Linked DNA regions of Astyanax mexicanus. The protein of the gene in region 1 interacts with the protein of each later gene in a pairwise test. Links are inferred from orthologs where the notes say so. Each region holds a gene or a part of one and is shown in the gene's direction. Other genes may lie near its edges. The genes, in order: mid2, slc25a48, spg21 and hoxb9a.

Region 1 (7,520 bases):
ATTAAAACCAGAGCAGCTGTTTTATTCAGGGTTTTCTGTTTGGCTCATGATGAAAGTAAACACTGGAAATTAGTGTTTACTTCTAATGCAAGTGTGACAGCTTATAGTGATAAGACTAGGACTGTCACTATTGATTATGGCCTAGTGGCCTTAAGCTTGTTAGTGTTAGGATCATCCTAACTGTTAATCTAAGAACAGAGAGTGTTGAGTCTGAAGCTCATGCAACCATTAACAAGGCATCTGTTGTTAAAACCAGCTTATTTTAGTTATTAATTAAGATGGGCAGGGTAACAAGTAATATTTACGTTTTTTTTGTCACATGCTATCGAGAAAAACATAGATTAATGTGTACTTTTCTAAGCATTTGTGTTAAATGTGTTGTATATGTTGTGTTACATTATATAGTCACTTTTTGCATGCCAACGATGATATACAAAGATATGCCTACACTCATGATATACTGGTACATACATGTATCACAATGTGTCATCTCCGGGGACATCTTGGGAATGCCCAATTGTGATGTGCTATCTTGTTAGCCAGGTTGGATATTGGGCAACGTGCTCATGGCAAGGCGACGTGGCTTATCAAAGTTGGGTGTGTTGTGCCAGCATTTAACATTTCTCAATCCACTACTTTATTGACAAAAAAAAGATTAGTTTAATTTATTTAAAGCAGGATTTTTGCATTGACCTTTTTAAAAGGATTCAACATGAACTATTTTAAAAGTAAGTTGAACCATCAGCATTAAACAACCTCTTACATTAGTGTCTCCATCAGCTCTCTACACACATCACTCATACACCACTAATACAACCGTTTTAACAATAACCTTAAATCTAACACCTGTACCCGAATGTTCCTGTACTCGCTCACACACACATACACAGACACACACACACACACACACACACACACACACACTTAGGGCAGATACCTACCTCTCTCTCTCTGTCTCTTTTCTCTCTACTCTCTCTATCTATTACCACATAACATCAAACAAGAAAAAAAAATATATATATATCTTCCTTTTCTATTTCTCCATTCTTTTTCTGTAAATATTCAGATCTATTTGTTGTTGTTTCCTAATATTTGTATCTTGTTTGCTATAATCCGTTTTTTTTTCTTTTCCCTCCCCCTTTCCTTTTTCTCTTGTAGTTTACAAATTGTTCAGTTATTATTATTATTATTATTATTATTATTATTATTAATTCTCTTTTTTCTATGTATTATTATTTTTTCCCCCTTTTCTCTACTATCCCCCACATGAACCTAAATATTTTTGATTTCCAAACTTAAACTTTAGCAATTTAGTTAGGATGTACTGTACTTCTGGCTTAGTATAGACTCTAAATTACAATTTCAAACAAATTTAATTTCAAGTAAAATTTATTCTGTATGTTAACACCACTCTAATTCACAAAAAAAGAGATTTTGTATGATTTTATTTAATGTGGTGAGTTAATTAGTCTCTAAGACTATTAACAACTGAAACCTCTTGTCAATGACACCCACCGTCAATTTGTAGTCATTTCCCCATTGGCTACCACCTCTAAATAATTACAATTAAAAAATGTGCTGATATTGATTAAAGGTAGTTGATTTCATTAGTGCATTAGTGGGCACTTTGGTTTTTAGTCAACATAAAGTGTATTTATATGAGTTAAGAAAATAAAAACAGTTGTATATACGTATTTCAATTAAGTAAGGATAAAAGGCTCATCTTCTACTGATTTAGGTAAAAGCATCTGGCTTGTTGAGTCAACATATCTTTTTTCCCACAGGTCAGTGCAGGGTTCTTAAGCTTCCATGTGACATGGCAAAAGTCCTGGGACTAGTTCATAGTTCCTAGTACATTTTTTACAGCAATTCTATAAGTTATTCAGTGGTAAGTACTTAGACACTACTTTTTGACTTTTATTAAGTAGTTAAAAAGGGGAAAAAAAATATGTGTTTTTGTATGATTTATAGTACTTTGCCAAACTCTTGCAATCAATCCTAATAGTATATCACAATCTCATAATATTATACTGTAAAAAAGACAGGTTCAATTTGTATTATCATATTGTAAATGATTAGCTTATCATCACTTCATGAAGTAATAATTACTCTATCAATGATTTTCTCAGGCAAGTAATAGAGTATCATTTTTAGAGTGATTAAGATTGAGGCCCACATGCATCAAAGCATCTCTATAGTATATTCAGAGCCTATTACTCAAGTCCTTGAAGGTCCCCAGAGACAGGAGGAATGAGAATTTATCTCATGCAGATGCCTCTCAAGGGATTCCAGCCTTTTAGCTCTTTAAGCCCCTCTTGCCCTTTCATTTGACTTGGACTTTATTTTTACATCTCATCTGTTTACTTTACACTGCAGATGCATGCGTGTGTGTAATCAGCCGATGTGGGAATTATCAGCGATATTGAACGTGAATGCTAATGTGATCAGTGGCGTGCAGGGTTTTATAGAGTGCCGGAAGCTGTAGTATAGATTAAGCACAATATTAGACTCAGTGAAGAAGAGTGCTCCATCACTGAGGGTATTATCTTTAATGCACAGTACAGAGCGTGAAGTTACTCGGGCTGGAATCTTCCGCCCACAGTAATTGCCATTCCAAATTTTGCATGCAGTCAGAATTTACTCCCTCAGCTGCACTAGAGTTTCACAAACAGCCAGCACAGTGTCAGCCAGTGATTCTGATCCTGGTGCATTTTACACTCTGGAACTAATTCGCTTTCAAAGGGCTTTCATGCCCACGTTATGCATTCCAAGGAGACAAATGGTTGCACAAGTTATTTATGTGGAGATTTCTGAAGTTAAAGTTGTGTTAAATACCTACTTGTGCAACATTTGTTCTCTCTGAGTGCTTATATTATGGAGAAACAGGGAGTTCTCTCTCTCTCTCTCCATGAAAAAGTTCCAAGGAGAGATTTTCCACTTTAAAATCTGCTTGTAGTGGACGGGGTCCAATGTGGTCTAGTGCAGGAATGTGGTGCTCATTCCTGATCCATGTGACTTCAGCCTGTGCTGAGTGTTTTACAGCAAAACCAATCAGTCATTAGTTTTCTTGCTGTTTACACTGTAGTGGGCCAATACAATCCTATATAATTTTGAATATAGATACTATTTTATTGTACACAATTGTTTATAGGCAATAGTTTGTACAATACAAGTCAATTATATTAGATTTTCTGTATTGTGTTTTTTTTTACATTGTAATAATGTAATATATGTATGTACTTAAATGTACTTTAATAGGGAATCACTAGTTTAGTTTAAACCCTTCAATTGTTTTCCTTTCTAAACACCATGGATCTGTATGCTGGACAAGGACTTAACCTATAGACCATATTTTCCTTTCAGTAGAAAATCTCTATTAAAAATGCTGTTGACCTGCATGACCAAGTGGGTTGACCAGCAAGACCAATGTGGTTGACCAACATGACCACCATAACCAAGCTGGGTGACCAACATGACCACCAAGACAAAGGTGGTTGACCAACATGACCAGCAACACCAAACTGGTCGACCATAATTACCAACATGCAAAAGCTGGGTGATCAACATAACCAGCATTTTAAAAAGATGGTCGACCAGCACGACCAACATGAAAATGTTGGTTGATCAACATGACCACCAAGACCAATGTGGTTGACCAGCATAACCAGCATGACCAAGCTAGTTGACCAACATGACCGCCAAGACCAAGCTGCTTGATAAACACGACCACCAATACCAAACTGGTTAACCAACATAACCAAGCTGGTTGACCATCTTGACCATCTCAACCAATCTAGTTGACCAACATGACCAACTAAAAAAAGCTGGTCGATCAGTAACACCAAGTATCACCATGCTAACAGACCAAGATGACTGATGACCTAACTAGTAGACCAGCATTGCCAACAAAACCAAGATAGTATACCAACAAGACCAGCATTACCAAGCTTTTTAAACCAAATTACCAAGCTGATCAACCAACATGACCAGTAGACCTCCCAGAATCAAATGAAACATGAACTATGATGGTCAGGAGCTGGTTAACCCACTAAAACCTAACAGCATAAGATATGTTTTGCCTGGAAAAACGCTTTCAGTCACCTTCACCATCAAAAACAGGTTTAGAGCTTGCAAAACCTGCTACCAGTGGAGAGCAGTCATCCTAAACTGGCTGCTTGCTAATGGTCTGTGTAACAAGAATGCCAGTGGTTTGACTCCTGGGTCTCTAGTGGCATAGGCCACTGAACACACACACACACACACACACACACACACACACACACAGATAAACACAGCCCAGTGCTGCCTTCACATCCCAGTAAAGAATCAGCATCAGCATGTAGCCACAATACCACACTCTTGCTGGTCATGCTCCAGTGTTTGAGTGGGAGTCGGTGCAAATGTGTGTGTGTGCGTGCGCGCGCGCGCGTGAGTTTCGCGCATGTGTATGCGTGTGTGTGTATACAGAAGAGAGCTGGGTGAAAGCTCTTCCCGTGGGATGGTCACGTGTCCTCGGGGAGTGTGTGTTACTCTAGGAGCCTGTCGGAGGGGGAATATGGTCCACAGCCGAGCACGCGCGCACGGGGGCCAGTGAGAGCGCGAGAGAGAAAGCAGAGCGACCAGCTCTCCAGCAGGCGCCTTTTTTATTTTCACGACAGCAGCTGGGAGAAGCGCGCGAGGGGAGCTCCACGCTGCGCTCGCTCAACTTTCGGTGAAACGGCAGCGCGAGCCTCTACGCGCGTCTACGCTGGAGCGAGCGGAGGATCGTCCGTCCGTGCGCGCGTGTGAGGTAGGCGAGCTTTGGTTACGTTACGTACGCATGCATGGAAACGCGCGCGCGCGCGCCCCTGTTGTGTTGTAGCGTTTTGTTCATTGCTGGTGTTGTTTGTTGTTGTGGGTGAGTGAGCGTGCACTACGCTACGCTACTAACCCAGCTGTTGCACCTCGTGCCTACTGTAGCCTACGTATGTGTGAGTGCGTCAATGTGTGTGTGTGTGTGCAGTAGTAGCAGTAGTAGACACTACGCGTTTGATGCCATCTTTTATTATTAATGCCATTAATGATGCATAAGCTGTCTCTCTGCTCCAAGAATTTAAAGGTTGTAGTCCTGGTGCTAATCTTCTGTTTAGTACTGATCCAGCATCAGTCCACAGTTGTGGGCTTTAGGGTCTGTCTACACTGGTCTCTGAAGTCCTGCTGAACACAGATGACCTCTTAAAATGAATTAATTCAAGCCTCCAGATGTTTAGATGTTTCTTCAACTCTGCATGAGCCTGCATTTTCATATTCATGCTCCTCCTCAAGTAAATTCCGATTTAATGCCAAATTATATGTAAATGAATATGAAAGATAGAGCATTAATAATCAGGTTACTTCAGGTGACTCTGATTCAGTTCACCTGCTGGAGACTGGAACCTCTTGCAACTCCAGTACCAGTTAAAAGTTTTCCTACTTTGTAAATTAATACTCAAGTTATCCAACTTAGAAGGAATACAAAAGGAATCATGTAGTAAATGTAAAAGTATAGCTTTTATCTGGAGGGCTGTTAACTTGTGGTTTCTGATAAACTTATCCTGTTCAACAGAGGTAACTCCTGGTCTTCCTTTCCTGGGGCAGTCCTAATGAGAGCCAGTTTCATCATAACATTTGATTGTCTTTTCAATTACACAATTTTTATTGTCTTTAGTTATTAGTAGTTATTGATATTATATGGATTATAACATTACTCATACGGGGCTATTCACTGTATACCGACTCTACCACTTGACTACACAACTGATGCTCTCAAACACATTAAGTGAGCATTTGCATTAGTGCTGAATTGGCAATGAATGCTGGGTGTTTGCATTTGTTCTCATCAGCAAGTCACCAGATGATGAATTCTCTGTATTTAAAGAAGTAAAACTCGTCCAGGAACTTTAATGGTTCTTGGTAAACATATTCCTTAGATTTGAAATGCAACTTGAGAAGAAAATATGATGTCATGCAAAAACAAGAACACATAATAAGAAATGGCCAGACACACTCCACAAATCCCTACAGACTTTTATTTCCTTGTAAACACACTGGAGCATTAAAAAGCATTGGTTTGAGACTTTATCTTGCCTCAGCATATGTGTCACTGCTGAAAAGTAATCACATTGCAAAAACAAAATTTAAAAAAACTAATTTCTATGCAAATCATATTTTTTTCTTAGTCACAGCTTTTAATACATGTAATAACTGTTTAGTAACACTAACAATGCGTGTAAGAAACAGTGTATCTATGGGGGAAGTACAGTACAGATACAAATCAATTACATTACACACATCAACACTTGACTTGTATTTAATAGTGTAATTTGTTTACATTATATAGTGTGTTTATGAATTTGTACATGTAATATAGTATGTGTGAATTGTTACATGTAATATAGTTTGTGTGTGTGTTTTTTACATGTAGTATAGTGTGTGTGTGTGTTTTTACATGTAGTATAGTGTGTCTGTGTGTGTGTGTGTGGGTGTGTGTGTGATTTTTTACATGTAACATAGTGTGTGTGTGTGTGTGTGCTTTTTTACATGTAACATAGTGTGTGTAATTAGTTGTGTAAAATGTCTGTTTCTTTAACAGCTCTTGTCTGGTATAGAATTAGGGTCCTCATTGTTTTTATTACTAAAAATCATAATTCAGATTTAATCATGGTAAGATGGACAGAATGTTCTGCTATGTTTAACTGACACTGATGCACACATGTAATTACATACCATGAATGACTGTAATCAATATTTAACTGTGCAACCACACACATATATCCACACATGTGTCATCGCAGTATTCCCTGACTTACAGGGGACATGGAAAATGTATTAAGACAATATACTGTGTTTTTTTTTTTGTCCTGTGACATTCAGTCACAATGCAAAAATTCGAGATTCAACTGATTGAAAGTTTCAAAACCTATGGTTTTCTTCCCTGTTAAACTTAAAAGGTTATTAAAATGAGATTAGCTCAAATTAGTTTAAAAGCAACGATATATTAAATATATGTATCCATATATTAGATTCCATTTGGCACATACACATCCTACATTTGCTTTACTTTGCTAAGATTTGATTACTTTTTTTTTATTACGTGCTTAACCTATAATAAATTAACATTATACAAACCCTAATATAAACAAATTAATATTATGTTTAGTGGTTTGTTGATTGGTGCTAAATATATATGAAATGTTTTTTTTCTGCCTCTAAAAGCCACACAGTAAATTTGCCAGTGTTAAAAACACTTTTAGAGTTAAATTAACACTGCAAGTTTTTTATTTTATTTTTTTACACTAAAAGTGTTGACACTGGCAAATTCATTGTGCACAATACTGGAAATTATTACACAGGATTACGCTTGAAATAAATAATAATAATAAAAAATATGGGTGATATAGTTATAAAGGAGTTATAAAGAAGACATTTTGCAGACATTCTGCAAATGTGGGGAAATTCATTTTCGACAAGCAAGGCTTAATTGTTTCCCAAACTTTTCAACT
Region 2 (6,996 bases), about 2.4 Mb from region 1:
AGTGGAACTTATTGGCACCCCGGTTGAAAGTAAGACGGGTCTCGCCCACCACCTTCATGGGAGAGGAACCATCAGCCTGGTGAGCGGATTGGGAGCTTGGGGTCATGTGAACACCAAGGCGGTGCGCAGCAGACAGTCTGATCATGTTGCAAGTGGCGCCTGTGTCGAGGATGATGCGTGCATGGTGGTGTTTGTAAAAGGTGTCTATATACGGTGACTGTCTGACTTGAACAGCGCGGGCAGTGTGGGGCTGTGTGAGCTCAGGACACACAGGGGGAGGTGGCTCGTCATCAGAATATACGTGGTAAGTGGATGGGTCGGTGGATTCCTCACCGAGCACAGAGACAATCTGCCTGGCTTTGAGCATGAATTTACGGTCTTGTTCGGGTAAATATCTGCATGAACTGAGGAAGTGTGTGTTGTTTTGACGGCCTGCTTGTGTGCACAGGGGGCACGACTTTTCTCGTGGGCTTGATCGCATCTGTGTTTTGAGGGCACCGAAGAGGGGCTGACGGGGTACCGCGCCACTGTATGTGCGGTTAGAGGTGGCTGCTCGCATGATTTTGGCGTCGTCAGCTGAACGGATTTCAGAGAGCAGGGAGTCTAGAGCTTGGGAAATCTCGGGTTTAATAGACGCCAATGTACGAGTGCGCAATTCAGTGCCGTATCTCTGCTTGACAAGCTTAGGTAGGTCAGTATGAATCAAACGCAGCCATGACACGACTACAAAATTCTCAAGGGACGGGGACAGCTCTTCATCCTCAGTTAGAGTAACGCCATGGTGAGTTAACCCGGCTGCCTTAAGGAGACCATCCTCTGTGAAGGCCATAAGCCGCTGATATAAATCTTCAGCACGTTCGTCTGCTTCTAAATGAATGTCTACAAAGTCAATAAGCTGAGCCCCTGTGGTTTGGAAGCCATAATGTAAACGAATGGCTTGCCATATGCCCTCCACGGATGTGGAATTTTTGACAATAGTGTTACGAGAAATCACAGGGCAGTAATTGGCAATTTGGCCTAGCATGAGTTCTAACTGGCGAACTTTTTGTTGGGCAGTCCGCCTGTGTGCTGCAGCAAGTGACTCACCATCATCTTGAAATCCTCGGAGAGGAGTATCACGGCTCTTCTTACCCCATGACGTGCCATCGATGAGAAATGGAGCAAACACGGGATCCATCGAGAGTGTGTATAGTAGGTTTTGTTTCCAGTTTTCGAATGAATTCAGAGTCTCTTGTTTGGTCAGACACCATTGTTTCGGTGCACGGTTGATATTAGCTGCCATCACGTAAATTGTAGTTCACTCAAACTACCACCTCGGCTGCTGACACGTTCGTCGGAGTTGGAGAAAGTGGAGATGAAAGGCTGGGTTCGGTAACTTTGCGCTGCCACCACGCCAGTAATTAGGAACAACTCACAGCCGAGAGAGTATGTGTGTGTGATAACAGCACAACTTTACTGAAGAGCGAAGCGGGGGAAGGGTACACACAGGAGAAGGGCAGACAGCGCGCATGCGCCAAAGTAGAATAACAACAACCAAGCAGTGGGCTGGCGCTACGACACAATGCTTTTACTTTATGCTTGAGTCTGAAAGACTGGCTCTGTGTGTCAAAAAGTTTGTAGACACCTGCTTATCCAGTATTTCTTTAGAAATCAAAAGTATTTACAATATTTACTCATCTGGGAAGGCTTTATTCAAGGTGTTAGGACATTGCAGTGAGGATTTGATTACATTTAATCATTAGGGAGGTTAGGCGCTGATGTTGAATGATTAGTTCTGGATCACAACCTCCACTCCAACTCATCCCTAAGGAATCAGATAAAGCTCTATTACTGCATAGAAGGCGATTCTACAGCTCCACAGCCTAATGCTATGGAGAATAAATTTATTCTGATCTGGCCTGAAAATAACACACACAACCTTACACTGTGTGATGTGATCAGAGGGAGTTGCAAGAGGGTAAGCATTTAGAAAGTTTATCATGCAGTATTAACAGTTAGACAAACACAATAATTATGGTAATGTTTGAACATTGATACATAATATTTATTTCTAAGCTGGAAAATTTATTTAACCTCTTAACTCACTAGTGGTTCCTGTTTTTTCCCCAACTGGTAAAACTGGTCAGTTTGCATTGTTTTGCATCTTGTTACACGCTATAAGCTGCTATAAGATACATCGTAAGAACATACTATAAGCTACAAGAAAAGTATACAAACAAGATATACTTATTTAATGTCAGTAAAATGTATTAAAAACAACCAGAGATGTATAGTTGCTGTATCTGTATCTACTGAAGAATTATTATTTTTTCCTACTTCCACATTCACTTCACTGCATATTTTTCATGAGTTTAATACTTTTACTTTAATATATTTTATGTGCTGCATCGTTACTCGTTGCAATTACAAAAAAGTTACAAACAATTCCAAACCCTCATGATCACTTAAGCCAGAGCAGTAGATGATCTGCACTGTTACCGGTTTTGATGAAGCTCCTCATTAAGTAAATGAAGCAATCAAGCTGATCTCATAATAAGAGCACTTCTCTCATTCTGTCTTTCACTCTGAAAACTTTCCAGTACTTTCTGTAATAACTACACTAATAACAAAGTACTGTACTTTTACTTTCAGTACCTTAGTAGTACATTTAAGAATAAACTACACTCTAGTGTTTTAGTCAGAAGAACTAATATTATAAAGTTGAGTGAACTTACCGGCCAGTACAACTCAATAAAATGAGCTCAGAGAACTTCAACCTGAAAACTTAAAAATGTTTGTTAAGACAATTAAAAAATGTGACTTCAACCAACTTTTAGTGTACTACACGTGTCAATGCTCTTTTTACATTGTTGTTTCATACAGCTATATTTGCATATTGGGTGTGCCCTCTTCCTTACTTACCATCTATGTGTTGTCTGTTGCCCAAAGCTACCTTATCCAGGGCATGAATTAGAGTAATATATTTGTTGATTGTCAGCCCTCAGTGCTGTAGGCTGTAAGAGCAAGTTACCTTTATTCTGTGTTCCTAGTTGTCACAGTATGTTGACCTGGACCTACAGCTAAATTCCTTAAGCCCACAATACTTGGGAAAAAAACAGTTAAGTTAATTAAACTATTGTTGTGTGAACAAAACTCAGTTAAGTTAAATAAACTTAAATGATTTAAGTTATCATCTAGTTTTGACTCGAAATTGTATGTATTTACAAAATCTAAAAGATAACTTGACTCAGTTAACTTGAATGAACTTAAAATTCTAAATGTTTACAACCTAACTGAGTCAAGGCAAAATGATGACTTGACTAAGTTAAGTTGAGCCATTATTTTTTGTTCTGTGTACTCGCAATACTTAAATTCCAAAACTGTTGAATACTTTAGTACCTCCACTTAAGTGTGGTGCTTAAAAACACATCTACTTATATTCAAGTCACTTTTTTGATAAAGCACTTGTACTTGTAGTCTGGGTCTCTAGTACTTTATACACAATTATACACTACCATAACGATGAATCAATGTTGAATAAATCAGTTCTGACATCGGAGATCAGTGATGTTTTAAAGAAGAATTTTTATAATGTTGATTCTACATACTTTTGCTATCTGTGTGATTATAATTTTACAGTACGCATTTTATAATAATAAATAAATAAATACATTTTAGATCAGTATCGGTCAAATACTAAAGGTTTCAGTTTTAATATGGGTCAGTCAGTACTAGTTCTAAAACAGAAATTGGCTGCATCGGGCAACTTCTTAAAGAACTGCATAAAGTAAGCCAAACTAACAGGACAGTAAAGTGGCAGTGCCCCTTTCTATACATTTACAGCTTATAATCTATATGAAGGCTATGAGTTAGCTGGAAGTGTGCCACCATGGTATATGTTTTGATCCTGATAAGGAGAGCCAGCCTTCCTCGCAACGCTATTGGTGCTCAGACTTTGTATCTCAACAACGCCCCCAAAATGCACATATCAGAGGGAAAGTTGTGCTCTCAGCTTCAGGTCTGGCTTGTTTGGGTGCTGTGGGCTTTCAGAATCCGCCCATGAGCTTTAAAATGTACTCGGAAGTCTGAGGGGCGTCTGTGCTCAAACACATCAGTCAGTTTTACCTCAGAGCGAAGCGTCGAGCAGCTCGAGCAGGATGGCTTTTTTTCAGTTGGATGATTTTTTGGCTGGATGGATCGGAGGTGAGTGGCTTTTCTGTGTGTTCTCGCTTGTTGCTGTGTGTTTATGTGGCCACAGAGGCGGATAAACTGAAAAAAAAATAATAATAATAACAGACAGAAATAGTAATATTTCATCACAATTGCCTAGTTTAGTTACTAGTTTAGTTACATTGTGCACGTGCTTGTTTGTTTCAGTTGAAAAGTAACCAGATCGAGCCGCGTTTGCAACAGTTTGCCAGAACCGTTTGCTAGCTATTGTTAGATAACTTAAATGTGAGGAGCAGAGCTTTTTTCGTGATTTTCTGTGGACAGTTGTGGAGTTTTAAGAAAGAAATACCCAAGAAAATAAACACAGAAACCGTAAAATAGTTTTTTTTTGTTTGCTTGTTTGTTTTAGGGGGCGTTTCTGTCCTTAGTTTACCTCAGTTTCTGCAGGGTTTTTTTCGCATTTTTGTTCTTTTTGTTCGTTTTTTTCAGTGCAACTGAAATGCATATAGCTGCAATGGCACATAGCAAGCACGATATATGGATAGATAGAAAAAACATGATTGCACACCTAAAGACACTACAGAACCTCCCCAGTTTATATGAAATAAGCTCCATGCAAAAAAACAGCTCAAGACCAGCTAGCCAGAAAAAAAGATATAAAAAAATATAACTAGGTACTCTATGCTGGTAAGGAACAAACTAGCTGAATGAGGTAAACTACCAGCATATTGTTTGCTTGTTTTTTTTCAGCAGGGCTTCCACTAGTGAAAAAAAAGCTATCCCTGCTAAACGTAAAAAACTCCAGCACAAGAAAAGCAGGTGTTCTGTCGAGTTATGTTACCCATCGATACGTGTTTCCTATAGGTATTGCGCATGCGCTGACGTTCACTTTTTAATTATTTTTCTTATTTTCTTGTATTAAATCTGTTTTTTTTTTTGCATTAAACAACCTGGACCTACTGTCATTGCACAAAATTTTAAATGGAAATGAATAATAAATATATATATATATATATTTATTAAATTCAAAAGCAGTTTGTAATGACTCTCATTGCCATATCTTTACCATTATATAGTGGTTTATGCTATCCAAATATACTAACCTACTTCTACTGGGTACATGCCCTAATATAGTGGTTATTTTGTTTTTTTGTTTTTTAAGTTAAATATACACTAGGGAAGCACAGTTTGACAAGGTAGCACAACTAGACAGAACACCCCAGTCAACCAGAAAAAAACTCACCCTATGTTGGTTGGCAAGCTCATTAACAAGATTTTGACCAGCACAGGGTATGTTTTCTCTGAATTACCAGCTGTATTTTTTTAGCATGGATAGGTTTTCCCAGACTCCTAGTTTAGGAGTTTAAAGGGTTTCAAGTTTGTTTGCACCGCATATTGCTGTGGGGAGAGAGCTCGAGGCTCTGTGGGTTACCGGCCTGTGTGGCCACCCAGTGCTCAGATTTGCTTGCCGGCCGGCCTGCTGGCGTTGTGTCAGTCTTTTACTACTTGCTGTTTGTCTGTGTTCTGACACCCATAAAGCACAATGCTGTTGTATTCATCAAAAAGGACAAAGTGTTATTCATCAGTTTGCTGCTAGGACGTCCACCCACAGAAGCTGTCATAACAAGCTGCTCCTCATTCCCCGTGGCCTGTGGTGGCCTTTTAAAATAATTCACTTTTTTTGCCCACACACAATAATACTGCTTTATTTTCTTTCAGGTGCCTCCAGCGTGATTGTAGGACATCCACTCGATACAGTTAAGGTATATGAACCTGTTTTTCTGTCTGAAAGAACAGTGTGTAAATAAGAATTTACATTTTTACATCAACTCAAGCTTTTTACTTTTTTTTTTTACTAATAAAAGTGTAAAAATACTGGTTTTAAAACGACTTAACCCTTTCAGACCTGAATTATCTCCAGTGATGAAAAAAAAAAAAAATGCTGTTTTGTTTCTTTTTGTCTTTTGTAAACCATCCCTAAACACAGAACACACAAAAAACATGAATAAAAAGTGTTCTAAATCACATTAAATTAGTAAAAATGGTCTTTGGAACTGGTGCCTTTTTCTTTTGGGATCTTTGACTTTTGTGTTTCTCTTTTTGTTTTTGTATGGAAGTGGATATATGTATCTATATAAAAGATACTGAACAATGTCAGAATTTTCAGTACCGGGATGGGGTGGTGGAGTGGGAGGGGGGATTACGCTGGTATGGCCTAAACTTTTGTCTTTAATGCCATTTTTCCCCTTACATAAATTTAACTTTTACACTTTAAGGCCTTAGTGGCTCTAGTACTGCTGTTTTTCAGTGCAGTAGGCGGGGCCAAGCTACTGTTTTATTGGTTTATAAACATGTTCACTGGCTGGTTAATGGCCTATTCTGATGGACAACAGCTCTCAAATAGTGTTATGTGCAACAAAACACTGTCCATTGTAATGTATGCAGGGTCTGAAAGGGTTAAAGTGTAAAAGTTAAATTTATGTAAGGGGAAAAATGGCATTAAAGACAAAAGTTTAGGCCATACCAGCGTAATCCCCCCTCCCACTCCACCACCCCATCCCGGTACTGAAAATTCTGACATTGTTCAGTATCTTTTATATAGATACATATATCCACTTCCATACAAAAACAAAAAGAGAAACACAAAAGTCAAAGATCCCAAAAGAAAAAGGCACCAGTTCCAAATAGTTTCAAGTCCTTAATATTCCCAACAATAAAACACTAAATAATTCTCCCAAAAAGCACACATGAAAAATAGAGGGCCAAGCAAGACACAAAAACATTGATCCTACCCACCCTCATGACTTATTTTGCAAAGCTTCAGCAATAGTCCAGCAACATGAACAA
Region 3 (7,508 bases), on another chromosome or scaffold:
GTTCGGTCCCAAACAAACTCTGGAGCGGTTCACTTGAGGTGAGAACGTGATCTGGTCTGTATCTGATCCAGCTATTAAATATACTATTTTTATTTGAGCTTTAACTGCTGATAAGGTGCAGTTTAATCTGTTATATTTGTCTGATAACAGTAATTACCACAGCTATTAAACTCTGCTACATGCTGTTTACATGCACAATTAATGTGATAACTTGGTCACCAAGTTACGTCGCGCGCACGTAACAACAACGTTATTTGGTTAGCTGGGTGTGCTGCAGTTCTGCACTCGCAGCTGCACGATTTCATTTACTAAGTGTACATCTGCGGTAGGGGTGGGCGATATGGCCCTAAAATAATACCACGATATTTCATGGTATTTTTGCAATAACAATACTCTTGGAGATATGACAAAACACTTTTAAATAAAATATTTCAAAAATACACTATACACTGCAAGGAAAATATATATATATATTACAGATATATTATAGATATACTGGAACTGGCACACAAAATCTTCTTGCTATATTTACTTTCTTGCTCCTGCACCAGACAGTCTGACCAATCAGAGGAGACAATGTGCTTGCGTGGTTTATAGGTGAGCATTTTGCTGAGTTTAGATTTATGCCTGTGTGAAACCAAACCAAACAGAGGGAGAAAATGCTCCAAGTAAACAAACTTATCAACTGATCAACTAGACTATAGTAACCAACTACAGGTGTGGAAATGCCCTAACATTGCATTAGGCTATGTTGAATGTGTTGCGGTGCACATATAACTGCATTTACACAAACATGTCAAAGGTCATGGGATAGCACTATGTAATTACATTCAAGTAATGTTATCTCAGGAGACAGCTTGAGAACACTTACAACTGTATAAATTGTGAGGTTTTATCTTGTGAGTAAGGCTGAACACTGGCCAGTGTGCTCACAGCAAGGCAATGTGAATTATCAGAGCTAGATTGCACCAAATAGACAACACATTCTAATTTGGAAGTTGTTTAGACACGTATTAATACTTTATCCAAAGAGTCACTTGTGTATGATCTAGAAAACCTGAACTTATTGTAAACAGCACAATAAGTGTGTGATCACATCCACATTTAAGGCACAATAGAAATGTCTTATAATTTTGGGCATGTCAGTGTAATTAGCTCTGTCCACTGTCAAAATGTTGAAATGGTATTGCTAAGGGAATAAAAGAACATGTTCATAAGAAAACTTAAATTTGCTAAACAACATAACATTTTATTTTACCCATGCTTGCCAACCTGTTGCACATCCAGACAAAGACAATTTTAATAATTTCTTATCCCATTAAGCATAGGGATTTATTAAAGAAATAAACACAGAACTACCTTTCCACCATCTCCATCCTTCATCCCATCCTTGGATGCATAGTACACACAGGTCTCTGAGAAAGATCTCACAGGGACTTTATGGGTCAAACGAATTTCATGAGATCCTGTTCGGCTAAGAGAAAACAGCTGTACTCTTGATCCATGTATTCCTAGACAAAACATAGAAAATAATTTTAGTGACTCTCACACACACAGTAATGTAGGATGACCATATGTACTTATTTTTAAGTATGAAAAATAATCTAAATTGCGTAAAATATCTGAGAGTTCTTGTTTGTTTTCTCTGCCACACCTGGTCTACATGAAGCTGCATCTACACACAATCAGGTTAAACTGCTTAACACAACATTCAACTGACCACAGCCTAAACAAACAAACTAAATATACACAAACACACTTTGCATTTGAAATAATTAATTTAATCAATCTCACACTTAGTTACAGGCCTAACTTAGGCCTAAGTGAAGCCCCTCCGCCACTTAATCCCAACCACGGTGAATGCAAGTGCATCTCAAAATTCCTTTTATTAAAAAAAAACAAACAAACAGGTAGCTCAAAATATGAGAAAAATTGTAGAGTTACAGTCAGTTCAGTTTAAAGCCTTTAAATAATACTTATTAAAGTCAAACTCACTGTTCAGTGTAGATGTTTTACTACTTCTTGATTTATCAATTCCTTTTTTATTTGATACACTGTTACCTTACATAAACAAACCATTCGCTTTATTCAACAGTACGCTCCTTGGATTAAATTAATTACTGTCTCAATTTAACGAAAGCACCCAACTCCAAACCAAGGGAAATATTGAAAGAAAAAATATTTAACCAAAGCAGAGGTTTATTATACTAAGGAAATGATTTATTGAACTGAAGAAATAACTTATTAAATTAAAGGAACAATTTATTTAAGTGAAGGAGTGATTTATTAAGCTAAGGGAACGATTTATTAAATTGAAGGAGTGATTTATTAAATAAAAAGACAACAATATTTTAAATTGAGGAAACAATTCACTAAAAATGAAAGAAACAAACTTATTAAAACGGAGAAAACGATTAATTAAACCTGGAAAACATTTTATTAAACTGAGGAAATAATTTATTAAACCGAGGAAACGATTCATTATTTTAGGGCAACAGTTCATTAGTCTGAGGAAACGATTCATTAAACCGAGGAAACAACTTATTAAACTCAGGGGAAAAAATAATTAAATTATTTAGCTAGCTAATAAACTAAGGGAGTTATAAGGGAATAAATAACTGAAGGGTTTATTAAACTAAGGAATAATTTAGCTATTAAACTGATTGTTTATATGATGTAATGGATTGTTAAATTAAGTGAACGACTTTAAAAAAATTACTAACTTACACTGTTAAACCGATTTAGATATGTCTGTAAGTTAAATAGTAGCAATTTGGTGTATCAACATTCATACTTCAGCTGCTCCGTTGTTTAGCCGGTAGCTAACGTTAGCTAGGTTGGTTAAATGTCTGTCAGGTAGGTTAGGTTAGCTAGCTTTGGCTAACCGGGTATTAACTCCCCTGTACTCTAAAAAACATGCCTTACAACTACAATACTCAACAGTTTATTAGAAGTACATATCCAGTGTTTAGAGAACTTTCCATGTTGACCAAAAAATAAGCTTATTTTTTATTTTATCTCCTAGCTAGTGTTAGCTAGCCCACAGTCCAGGTCTGTGCTAAGCTAACGCTAGAGCTAAAGTTTTAGCAGCATAATAAAGTGTGTCTCTTACCTTTATGAGCTGAGTTTATGAAGAGTCTCGCTGCTGAGGTGCAGGCACAAGACATGGTTTCCTGCCTTAGCTAACTTCTTCTAGTTCAGCTGGAGTAAATAGCAGCTCAGCAGTGAAATACCGGAATATAATAAACAGCAGATATTCTAACCTGCTCCCCAGCTGTATACCATCACCACCATTCAGTTAGCTGCTGAACTCGCTAAAGCTAGCGGACCTGAGCGTTGAACAACTAGTGCAGGTCCACTGCTGCCCTCCTTAGTCCGTTGGGGTGAAATGAAAATGTCAGGAGTTGAAGGAAAGAGAACGTCAGCCTGCTCTGAGGGACACCGACCCAGGTGACTGGAGGGGAGGTTTAGAGCTGCTGTGGGTTGTGGCCAGATGACGCCAGATTATTACAGTACAGGAGATTTTGAATAACCTGAAATACCCCCAGAAATACAGGCCAGCTATTAAAAACCTATGTTTTTTCACTAGTAATTACATCAGCTGTAACGTTATGTATTGTACAATAGAAAAAAAAAATATTGTACAATAGTCATCCCCGGAAGAATATTATAGCCATCAACATCATTGTAATGGTATTCTGTCTACATATGCTATGTTAGTATTCATTTACATGGAAGCTTATCTTCTCCTTATATTTTAAATAAATAAAAAAGTAGGCACACTAGACAAATGTAAACTTGCACCGATGTGGGATTTCTAGGCCGATGCCAAATTTCGATATTACACAGGTTTACAGCTTTAAAAAAAAAAGAGACCACTTCAGTTTTTGAATCAGTTTCTCTGATTTTGCTATTTATAGGTATATTATGTTTGAGTAAAATGAACATTATTGTTTTATTCTATAAACTACAGACAGGATTGAAGCACTCACCACGAGGCCTCAAACTCAAATGTTGTGGGATCCCAAACAGATAGATCCTGGATTTGACATTAAAGATAATATGGTTCCAGTCTGTATAAATATATATATATATATTTATACTGTAACAGCAGGAGGCATTTTGCAGCAATCCAGAACACAGCATTTGTGTATGTATTTATTTATTTATATAATTATTTGTTTGTTTGTTTACATATTTATTTATATATTTATGTATTTATTTTTGTCAATGACCGGATGATAATAAAAATATTATACGTATATAATTAAATGTAATAGTTAATTTATATTTATTAAAATACAAATTAAAATAGTCAATTATTTTATTTCCATTAACATAAAAAACGATTAGACTACATTTATTAAAGGAATACATTATGTTATTAGCATAAAAATAATTATTACATTTTATTTTTGATTTATTAAAATATAATTTAATGCTTAAAATATTCTCCGTCACCATAACGTGGTGGTCGTACTGGGCATGCGCAGAGCCGTGTGTAAGATGCGGAACTCGCTGTCATATGACTTCTCGGTTTGTTGCTAAAATGGTGCTGATCCGAGGCTGAAGTCTCCGTTAAAGGTAAAACACATCTAAACAAAGCACAGTACTGTTATATTAACAGCTCTGTGATATAATGCAGCCCTTTAAGATATTTTCGGGGCTTATTTCAATGTTAGAATATCGCTATTTTACTCCGTATTTTAGAGCACACGACCAGCTGAACTTGGCTTTCTAGTCGACTTTTCCATTCCACCTTAAATTGTGCTGCTGTTAATACTGCCGCCTGAACACCCTTTGGAACGCAGCTAATGCCCCTGTTTTAAGGTGGAACCGAAAGTTCTGGGTCTAACAGGAGAAATGTCTGTAATTCTGCGCCCAGACATGTTGTTAGTAAGTGATATCGTTTAGTATATGCAGTTACTATAATAGGAATTGTGACAAAAACATGAGTTATCTTAGCGAGTAAGCTAGGTTAGGTTAGTGTGTGTGACAAAGTGATCCATCATTAACAACGTGATTAGATAAAAGCTGTGTAAGCTGTTGTGTGTACAGTTTTTTTCTTTGATAGTTAAGTAGACAGGGGCTTTACTGTAGTTACCTTTTTTCCTAGATTTATTTAGATTTATTGTCACTATTTAATATAGATGTATGTTGTTTTGGGCACGAAAATAAAAAAATATCCACTTTTTTTGTGTAAGCAATTTAGGCATTAAACATGGTTGTTTTTTTCTGATATTTTTAAGGTGAATTGTGTATATTAGGTGTAAGAATCCTTTAAATAAATGTTTTATTAGAATTGAGAAGTAGAGTCCACATATTATCTATCATATTTAAAATGACTAGTGTCTGTGTTATTATTTCAGTGTCAATCTGCAATTTTAGAGTAAGTGTTGATAACAGGTGTTATATGGTTCAATATAACGTTATTTTACAGTTGCAGTGCCTGCACTGACATTAAGTGGTCCACAGCAGGCCATGTTGGATGTGTTCTGGTGTTGTTCTAACATTAATGCTGTAATTAAATTATTTGTTCACTTTTAACAAGGAATGTGATGTTGCACAAAGCAGCCCTTTCAGCCGCTACTGAGGAGCATTGTTTCTGTACAGAGTCCTGCGCAGAGTTCTGTACAGAGTTGTGTTAAGTCTCTCTTGTGTCTTAACCTGTAAATTGATTCTATTTTAGAAATGGAGGAGATAAGAGTGTCTCCTGACTACAACTGGTTTCGAAGCACAGTGCCCCTGAAAAGGGTAAGCTTATGCTTCTGTTATATGTTTTAGTACAACTAGGTCAGGTTGTATGGTCTGATTGTTATTGGATTTCATTTTAAAATTAGTGGTATTTTTTGTGTTTAATATCCCATGACCCTTTCTTTATGGCTTCTTAAGTCGCTCCATCTCTTCATGATTTGAACCATGTGATAGCCTTGTGATCCAGCACCTTTAGGAATGTGACTGAGGCCAGGCTGCTGTGCTTGTGACACCGTGCTGCGATTGCTGCTTTTCAGATCATAGTGGATGATGACGACAGTAAAGTTTGGTCACTGTACGACGCCGGGCCAAAGACCATCAGGTGCCCAATCATCTTCCTTCCTCCTGTGAGCGGTACAGCTGAGGTTTTCTTTCAGCAGATTTTGGCTCTCACCGGTTGGGGCTATCGGGTAATTTCGGTAAGTTTCTTAAAACTGACCATTGTTCAGAGTGTCTGTAGAGTTTTACAAATCAAAAGTTCTAGTGAAGATTAAGTTGTCTTAAAGGAGAGATTTATTTTTCAAAGATGACTATGAGTAAAATGGTTTCACTTCATGTTGAAACCTGTAAGTATCATCTGAAACTTTCCTTTTATCTATTCTTATCACAGCACCGGAAAATTAGTCCTACAGTGTTTTGTTGTACTGTAAAACCCTGTACTGGTATCATGACAAAGTTCAATTAAATTGAATAGATTTTTTTCTTTAAAAACTATTGCATAGCTGTTTTACATTAAAGCTCTTCTTTTAAGATAAGCATCAAAAAATGAAAGAGCAAATTACTCAAATATTTGACAATAAGTGTCAATGACAGTTGTCACTGTTAACAAGCATTTTCTTATATGGCAGACATAATCAGCACATTTTAAATATACACGTGCATTTAAAAAAAAATATAAAAGTTTCTTTATTTCTTTTATTGTTGATGATTTTGGCTTACAGCCTATAAAAACCCAAAAGTCAGTATTTCGAAAATAGAATATTATATAACAAAAACTGGTCCTTTTGGCAGTGTGGGCAGTGTGCTCCATAAAAGTTGTTAGCAGAGGCAAGCATGAAGTGCTGTAAGATTTTGTGGGAAAACACTGCACTGATTTTAGACTTGATAATAAAACACAGTGGATCAACACCAGCAGATCACATGTCTCTCCAAACCATCACTGATTGGTAGAAACTTCACACTAGACCTCAAGCAGTTTGGACTGTGTGTCTCTCCACTCTTCCTCCAGACTCTGATTCCTTGATTTACAAATGAAATGTAATATTTACTGATGATCAGTGATGGTTTGGAAAGACATGTCATCTGCTGGTGTTGATCCACTGTGTTCTATCAAGTCCAAAGTCAGTTTTCCCAGAAAATCTTACATCACTGACTTTGGACTTGATTTAACACAGTGGACCAACACCAGCAGATGACATGTCTCTCATAACCATATGAGACCAAATGAAACCATATGACCATAGCAGTTCCCATAAATGAGCTGCTTGCACGTCTTCACATTGCCTACAAGCAGGTCAGTTTTCTCTGCTGAGAAGCGCAGAAGCACTGCGCTGTTAAAATATCAATTTGCCAAAGACTGAGAGCACCTGCTTCTTAAAGGAAAAGGCAAGTGAAACCCTGGTTGGTTTATTTCACCTTACGCCCAAAACACACCCATGATTAATTAAGAGAATTGTGCGTATTCTTTTGCACCCTTACGATACCAAAGACACATTGTCAAGCCCTAAATCAAGCTGTACACTGCACATTTGAAA
Region 4 (6,960 bases), on another chromosome or scaffold:
TTAGCTTTAAGGCCTTTATTTCTTTGCACTCCGTTTAACATTCTAATAGAATGTATTTTAAATTATTGTGGTAGTGCTAGTTAATTCCGAAGGGAAATTGGACAATCAGGTTTGCTTTTTATACATACATGTTCGCTTTTATTAAAACCCACGTTGATAATTAAGGTCGATGCCAGTCGATGTTTAGTTATCAAATTAATAAAAACTGTAAAACACATTATAATCCAATACTGACATATTGCACACCATATATTACACTAATGCCAAGGCTGTTTCTTATTGTTTGCATTTCTGCACTTTAAAATAAACCGATTATCTTTAGATCTTTAGATTCTTGATCCTTAAAACTCAAAATAGAGCTAGTACTGTTATTGGATTGCATGTGTACATAGGAGATGTCTATGCTCTTTCTGTATTGAATCCTGCCTTGTGATCTCAAATATACAAAAGTCCGAAGTTCAAAAGTGAAATCACCAACAACAATGTTCAGGGATTTATTAATTTAGCTTTTGAAGTCCATGCGGCTTGTTAGTCATTCAGCATGACTTTGAGTATCAGTGAAAGTCGGGCTCACAGAAACGTTGGTACCGTCTTAGAAACAACGCCAGTGTTTACCTTTTATTTTTTACATGGACTGCCAGTAAAATATCAGAACAAATGACATTTTACAATGTTGAAATGAGGTTTGACCTTCATGTTATTGCATTGTCAAAGACGTTGCATTCCTGTTTAAGGCAACGTTGAAATGTATCTCTATTGTCGTGTGTTTTTAATTTTTCCCAAGCTGTAGAGCTTGCCTTGAATGATTTGAGAGTGAAAACTAATTCAAAACATATGCGGATATAACACAAAAAAATACAGCTGCTGCCTTTTTGTCTGAGCGAGAGAGAACTAGATCTCTGCTTCTGGGAGTCGCCATGTTTAGAGCCCACAGGTCCCAACGTCATAGGCCAAGCAGGACAGGAGGTCCTTTTTTGAACCAGTGGCAATCGAGTCGCTTTTACTACCGGGCTCGGCTGTTGAAGTAAAAAAAAAACCGGATGCGTTTGTGAACTTAAGTTACTATATACTGGGACACAGCCCATGATTTGAAAACTACAACGCATGCATGCTAACATACGTTCCGTCTTTTTGTTATTTATCTTATTATTTTCTATTTTTGATTTAACATTTACATGTATTATGCTCGCTTAACTGTGTGATTTCTTGCATTGGTCCCCATCCTAAAATCCGCTGCAGCCCACAAGCTCCCTCTTGCATGTCTGCTGGTGTGCTTCCAGCGTTAATTGGAGCTTATGTGTGATCAGGTAGTTTCACATTGTTGGGCTGAACATTTAATAACACAGAAACCTTAAACTGTCTGAATCACTCCAGTTATTACACATCGATGCACTGGCGCAACAAATTGATTTTACAAAGAAGCATTATTCTTGACTGGGAACCTACGTAGTATTTTTATCTTTAGCTCTAAAAGATTTGAAGATCTTGCTGATATAAGCCAACCTGTTGCACAAACAACAGCGCGGAGAACTAAAATATATTTCCCAGCCGTTCCTGTGCGGTCATTAATTCGTTCACAAGCATAATACCTTTTATGAATGTTCAAGCGCGCAGCAGTTGTAAATCTGCCCACACCGAAAGCGGGATTATATTTATTTATTTTCATGAATCTGCATGAATGTGTCTAACTGTCCATTTGTATGTGTGTGTCGTTAAGTTTGGTGCTTAGTCTCATATAGGTAAGCGCATAGTGGTATTTGTTAGGGACACGTATTTCTTGTGCCTTGACAAAAATAAAAAGGTTAATGCAAAATTAATTACAGTTTATATATATAGACCGCGTCGACATTATTTACGGGTCGTATTTATTGTGGATCACACTATCGACTAAAGTACAAACCAATAAGAAAAGTGAGCAAAATAAGTAAACACTTTGTAAAGTATTAAACCAGAAGCAATGAACCATCAAACACAAGCAGTTTAGTTTTTAAATGCATTTTTTTAATGACTCCATGACTGGAGTTATAGTTTGTCTACACAACAGATGTTTTTCAATAGATGTTGTTTATTTTTATTTTCAGAATCAGCACTTTCTCAAAATCATTTAGTTATTAGTTTTTAGCGTGTAGTAAAATAAAACATGCAGCAAAATTGCTTAACTTGACTAAACTAAATGAAAATAAATATATACATAAGTTATTTCGTCAATAATTCTAAATGTGTGACGCTAATTTGTAAATGTATACCTTTGTAAATTTAATCCATTACTTTTTTTATGTTATTTTGCATTATGTGTACTATACCTATAATAAAATAATGAAATCGTGCATTCTGTAATTTGATTATTTCATAGCATGTAGCTTTACCTAAATAAAGGCAATATCTGTAGTACTACGTTATTAGCGTTGAGAGCTGCTTAGAAAAGCAGATATATAATCGTCTGATGATTAATTGTAGAAATTAACATGACCGACATACTGGAAGATACTGAATATGTATCTATAGTAGGAATTCCTACTACAGATACACACTACACAAATTAGTTGAATAGCAGTGGTACCTTGTGCAAGCATGGTTAAAATAGGCCTCCATCCATCTTCAAACCCACATTTCTGAATGGAGATTTTCCTTTGAAAGGAAAAAAAAATCTAGAACTAGGCTTAATCCCTGCCCACACATGTTCCCAATGTTAAACGATATATATGGTGTTAATTTTAACAGGCTAGATGAACCCTAAATGGGAGAACATGAAGACTCAAAAAGTGTGTTTAAATTCTAAGTACTAATTTACCTCAAAGGAATGTAGAAATATTGCGATTAGCATTTAGTGTTTAGGAGCTTAACATTTTTGTGGTTGCTTGCTTTCCCAAAGCTTATTGCACAAATGTATTTCATTATGAAGTTAACACTGTTTGTATATAGTTGCAGAGTGTGTTTGGCCTTGAGGTAATTTTATAATGTTGTGCTTTGTTTCTTAAATAACACATTTAAATGGTGAAATGTAAATAAAGACACGTATTTACTTACCATTCAGACTCAAAATATATAACAAATGAACTGTATGAAAAAGAATAGAACAATACATGTGATGATGAAAGCACATCTTTTGGAAAGGTCTTTGCTTATATATTTATTTTGTGGGCCTGTGATGTAAAACATAACTGAAAATAATTTGGCGCACGTGGGTTAATGCTGTTTATATTTTGTATGTGATTGAGGAACGTGGCTAAATATATATATTTTTGTTGTACAAAGGGAGTCACCAAAAATGACGTCATATTTTCATAGAATTTTTTTTTAAATTAGCACTCATTTCTCAAACCAAGTGTGTCTGAATCTTTTTTTTCCTCATGAGCGCGTGCGCTAAATCCTACGGCAGACTCGTTTACGGTCTTTGCCACAGGCAGTATATCAGGTCTATAAAAATCAAAGCTGGCTGATGTAGTATTTTATTATAGTATTAAACGACGAAAAAGTTCAAGTAGTTTCTTCCATAAATACAAGAGAATTGTCGTTAGGTACTGTTTAACACACTCGTTAAGAAAAATTACCGTTAATTTCCTTATAAACCCCAGTATTATCTCCACGCGCCCCGAATAAGACCAGTCAACAATAAAAGCCCAGGAAATGCTGTAAAATGTTCCCAAAGATGTTACAATAGAGAAAAACTGCGTTAAAGATAGATGAACTTGACAGACGGATTATGTTGTCCTCACTAGAGCTCGTAGATACCTTTTTAAGCTTTTTGGAATGTTTTTTCAAACTAACGAAAACTGTTTTGCAGATTTAGGATTAGGAATGCTCTAAATATATAAAAATGCTTACATTTTCTAATGTAAATATACACAAAATATATTTACTATGTAACTGGTATGCACAGGCCTTTGCATTTTTATTCATATTGTCAAAACGTTGTGTAATTTAAGCGGATATTTCCCCGACAGGTTGTAGATATCTTAGGATATATTCACATACTCCCACTTTGCATATTACATAAACAAGACAGTTTATTTAGAGGCGAAAATATGGATAGCGCAAGAGGAGGAGAGCTCAGCGCAGCCCCTTGGCGGATTGATTTACGCCCCATTGACTCTTTATCAGGCTCGCAAAAAGACTGACCAATCATTTCGCTCGGAGCTCACAACAGAGCAGCCTGGCTCTACTTGCTGGCGAACGAGTAGCGGTAGCATTTTGAAAAGGGGGAAGCCCATTTCTATGGTACATGTTTTCCCTTCACTGAACCGTAAGGTGTATAATGTCCGAGAATGTCCATTTCTGGAACTTTAAGCAACTACTATGTCGATTCCATTATAAGTCATGAGGGAGAAGATCCGAGCGCTGCCCGATTTGCCAATGTACAGTACTCCAATTCTAGGCAGCCGGGAACCGGGGAGCATCCCGAATTCCCTTCGTGTAGTTTTCAGCCCAAGCCTCCAGTATTCAGTTCGTCATGGAGTCCTTTCAGTCCGCACACGTCCAATGGCTTACCGGCGGTCTACCATCCTTATATCCCAACGCAGCCCGTGCCTTCAACGGATACACGGTATCTTCGTTCATGGCTCGACTGCGCTCCGAGAGCCGAGCCGTTGCCTGGTCAGAGTCAGGTCAAGATGGAGCCACTGTTGGGACATCTCGGGGAGCCCCCAAAACTCGGAGGGCAGCACGAATATGTTTTGGAATCCTCCTCGGCTCGGGAGATGAATTCTGGCCACAGCTCGGGATTTGAAGACAGTAAGGACATTTGTGAAGGTAGCGAGGACAAAGAAGGACCAGATCAAAGTAAGTTATAAAAGAGGAAGTAAACAGTCTGTAAAGCTTTTAATGCTGCCATAAAACGCGAACAAAGCAACTGCTGAGACCCACAGCCTCCCCACCCTGCCAAGTTTGCTCATGTGGCAAGCAGAGCTCGAGAGCAGGCATGTTTGTAGGCAACATGAATACAGAACTCATGAGAAGTTGAGCATGCTTGTGATTTTAAAAGCGAATGTTTAGTGCAGTTACTGTGACTTTGTTGTTCCTCGTTTAGATAATTAATCTCTCTATCTCTCTTTCCCCACTCTCTCCCTCTCTCTGCGTCAACGCTTGTTACTTGCGCTTCAGTACTACTTAGATTCTTGTCTTTCGTATTCCATATTTGTAGCCAGAGGCTATATATATTTTTAAATATAAAAATACTTGCATAGTGAGTTGTAAGATAGCAACGACAATGGAACACCACAAACTACTCCGCAACTGTTGTAATTGACCATGTGTCTGGATGTTGACTATTGGTATATTATCACTTACACCAATTCATGTGTGGGTATGGAAAGCACAGACAATAAGAGCTACCCCGGAACCAACTCAGAAGTAAAGCATGAGCAACAGTCCTTTTTAATATGTGCTATATTTGGCAATGTTCATAAATGATCCACTACAAAGGTGACTGGAATACGTAGCCTATGTTCCAATACGTGGAAAGAACATCGATTTTAATTCCCGAAGTAGGCTCGATCAACACAAACATTAATGGAATTGAGCGCAACAGAAATCCCCATTGTGCTGCCCTGGGCGTCGCTCCAGTATAAACTGTAGAAAAAATGAATGTTGAGAATTACATGGCACACGTTGTGCTCGTGGATGCCCAGGAGAAGGATAAAGCTTATTGCCCACCAAGTTTATTAAGTTAAGGGGAACCAACATATCCATTTATTGTTCTGTGTGTCCTTTATTGGATGTATAATGCAAAATATGTACATGACCAACTATACTATATCTGACCTCGAGGAAATGCAATAGCGTGTTTCAACTATGAAACCCCCATTTGTACTAAAACTAATTTGACAGGAGACGTTGCCAAAAAAGAAACTTCAAACAGGAAATAGGAATGTTTTTCTCGCTATAAAACGAATAGCATCATGCATCCAGGCAGTGTTTATTATTTCAGCAAGTGTGGGTGACTTCATATTTCTCATACATGTACATAAGGCCTAGATAAATGACACATGCCTAATTCTTGATAGGGGTTTCTTCCTATTCGTGATATAAAGAAAGTGCGTCACAAGAGATATCTAAGACAGTTAATGTAAGACTGGAGTGAGCGGTTCAATGTGTTAGACGATGTATGCGTGGAAGAAAATTGCTGCAGCAAGAAAAGCTTTCTGTGAGTCTCTAACGTTCAAGCTCGTGACCCTCGCTGGGGCCGAGTTATGTCTCCAGCATTTGATAGTTTGTCATTCGACGACAAGACGTTGCTGGATTGTAGATAAAGTGATTCCGAGTTTGGGGAAAATGTTGACCTCTGTTATATGGATAAGAATGTTCTTCTACATTAGTAGTCCACAACTGAATGGTACCCGTTTTCAATGATATTGATTTTTAATTCATACATAGAGTCTTGAGCAGTAACATTGTTGCTAACAGAGCACGCGATACAGTCTGCTGTCTCATCCCAAAGGCAATTTAATGGAAACATTTTTTAAACATTCCCATCTGCATTCCCGAGAAAGCCACAGAGGAAAAGGAGCCCTACACTCTCGTCACAATTCTCTTCATATTTCTCCCTAAAAGGAGATAATATCATGGCTCAACGGATCGCGGTTTCAAATGCATTCCAGTATGGTTTAGAATGACACAAAGCCATGACTGGAAAGTCGCAACACAATTGAATTAGTCGGATTAATGTTTTGATTGTGGACACCAGCCATTTAGGCAATTTGTATAGGCTTATTTAAGGTAATGGTAGTAGTTGCAAGTTATGTTTTACATTCAATGAACTCAAAGGACCACTATGTCTGCTTGTAATAGTAGTCTGCACGCATCTCTAAATTTTATCTCAAGTTTTGATATAACCATCTGATCTTTTGTACAGTTTTCTCATTACCAAACGTTGATTGTGTTGTCATTTGCAGATGATCCATCGGCCAACTGGTTGCACGCCCGTTCGTCCAGGAAGAAGCGATGTCCTTACACGAAATATCA

The links.
Region 2: the proteins of mid2 (region 1) and slc25a48 interact in binary tests that used the Homo sapiens proteins (3 or more experiments, as listed by UniProt). The two-hybrid records come from large-scale screens. The link is inferred for Astyanax mexicanus from reciprocal best matches to the Homo sapiens genes MID2 and SLC25A48.
Region 3: the proteins of mid2 (region 1) and spg21 interact in binary tests that used the Homo sapiens proteins (3 or more experiments, as listed by UniProt). The two-hybrid records come from large-scale screens. The link is inferred for Astyanax mexicanus from reciprocal best matches to the Homo sapiens genes MID2 and SPG21.
Region 4: the proteins of mid2 (region 1) and hoxb9a interact in binary tests that used the Homo sapiens proteins (3 or more experiments, as listed by UniProt). The two-hybrid records come from large-scale screens. The link is inferred for Astyanax mexicanus from reciprocal best matches to the Homo sapiens genes MID2 and HOXB9.

The regions. Positions count from the first base shown.
Region 1 is NC_064417.1:41,297,213-41,304,732, forward strand, and holds the start of mid2 (probable E3 ubiquitin-protein ligase MID2), read left to right. Parts: upstream 1-4,502; 5' UTR 4,503-4,789; intron 4,790-7,520. UniProt on the Homo sapiens protein: E3 ubiquitin ligase that plays a role in microtubule stabilization. Mediates the 'Lys-48'-linked polyubiquitination of LRRK2 to drive its localization to microtubules and its proteasomal degradation in neurons.
Region 2 is NC_064417.1:38,903,945-38,910,940, reverse strand, and holds the start of slc25a48 (solute carrier family 25 member 48), read left to right. Parts: upstream 1-3,980; 5' UTR 3,981-4,136; coding exon 4,137-4,182; intron 4,183-5,868; coding exon 5,869-5,912; intron 5,913-6,996.
Region 3 is NC_064423.1:9,407,270-9,414,777, forward strand, and holds the start of spg21 (maspardin), read left to right. Parts: upstream 1-4,500; 5' UTR 4,501-4,584; intron 4,585-5,689; 5' UTR 5,690-5,691; coding exon 5,692-5,754; intron 5,755-6,011; coding exon 6,012-6,173; intron 6,174-7,508. Other genes in the region: clpxa (caseinolytic mitochondrial matrix peptidase chaperone subunit Xa), read right to left, coding at 1,360-1,511, 3,113-3,167. UniProt on the Homo sapiens protein: May play a role as a negative regulatory factor in CD4-dependent T-cell activation.
Region 4 is NC_064426.1:33,305,601-33,312,560, forward strand, and holds the start of hoxb9a (homeobox protein Hox-B9a), read left to right. Parts: upstream 1-3,951; 5' UTR 3,952-4,265; coding exon 4,266-4,779; intron 4,780-6,890; coding exon 6,891-6,960. UniProt on the Homo sapiens protein: Sequence-specific transcription factor which is part of a developmental regulatory system that provides cells with specific positional identities on the anterior-posterior axis.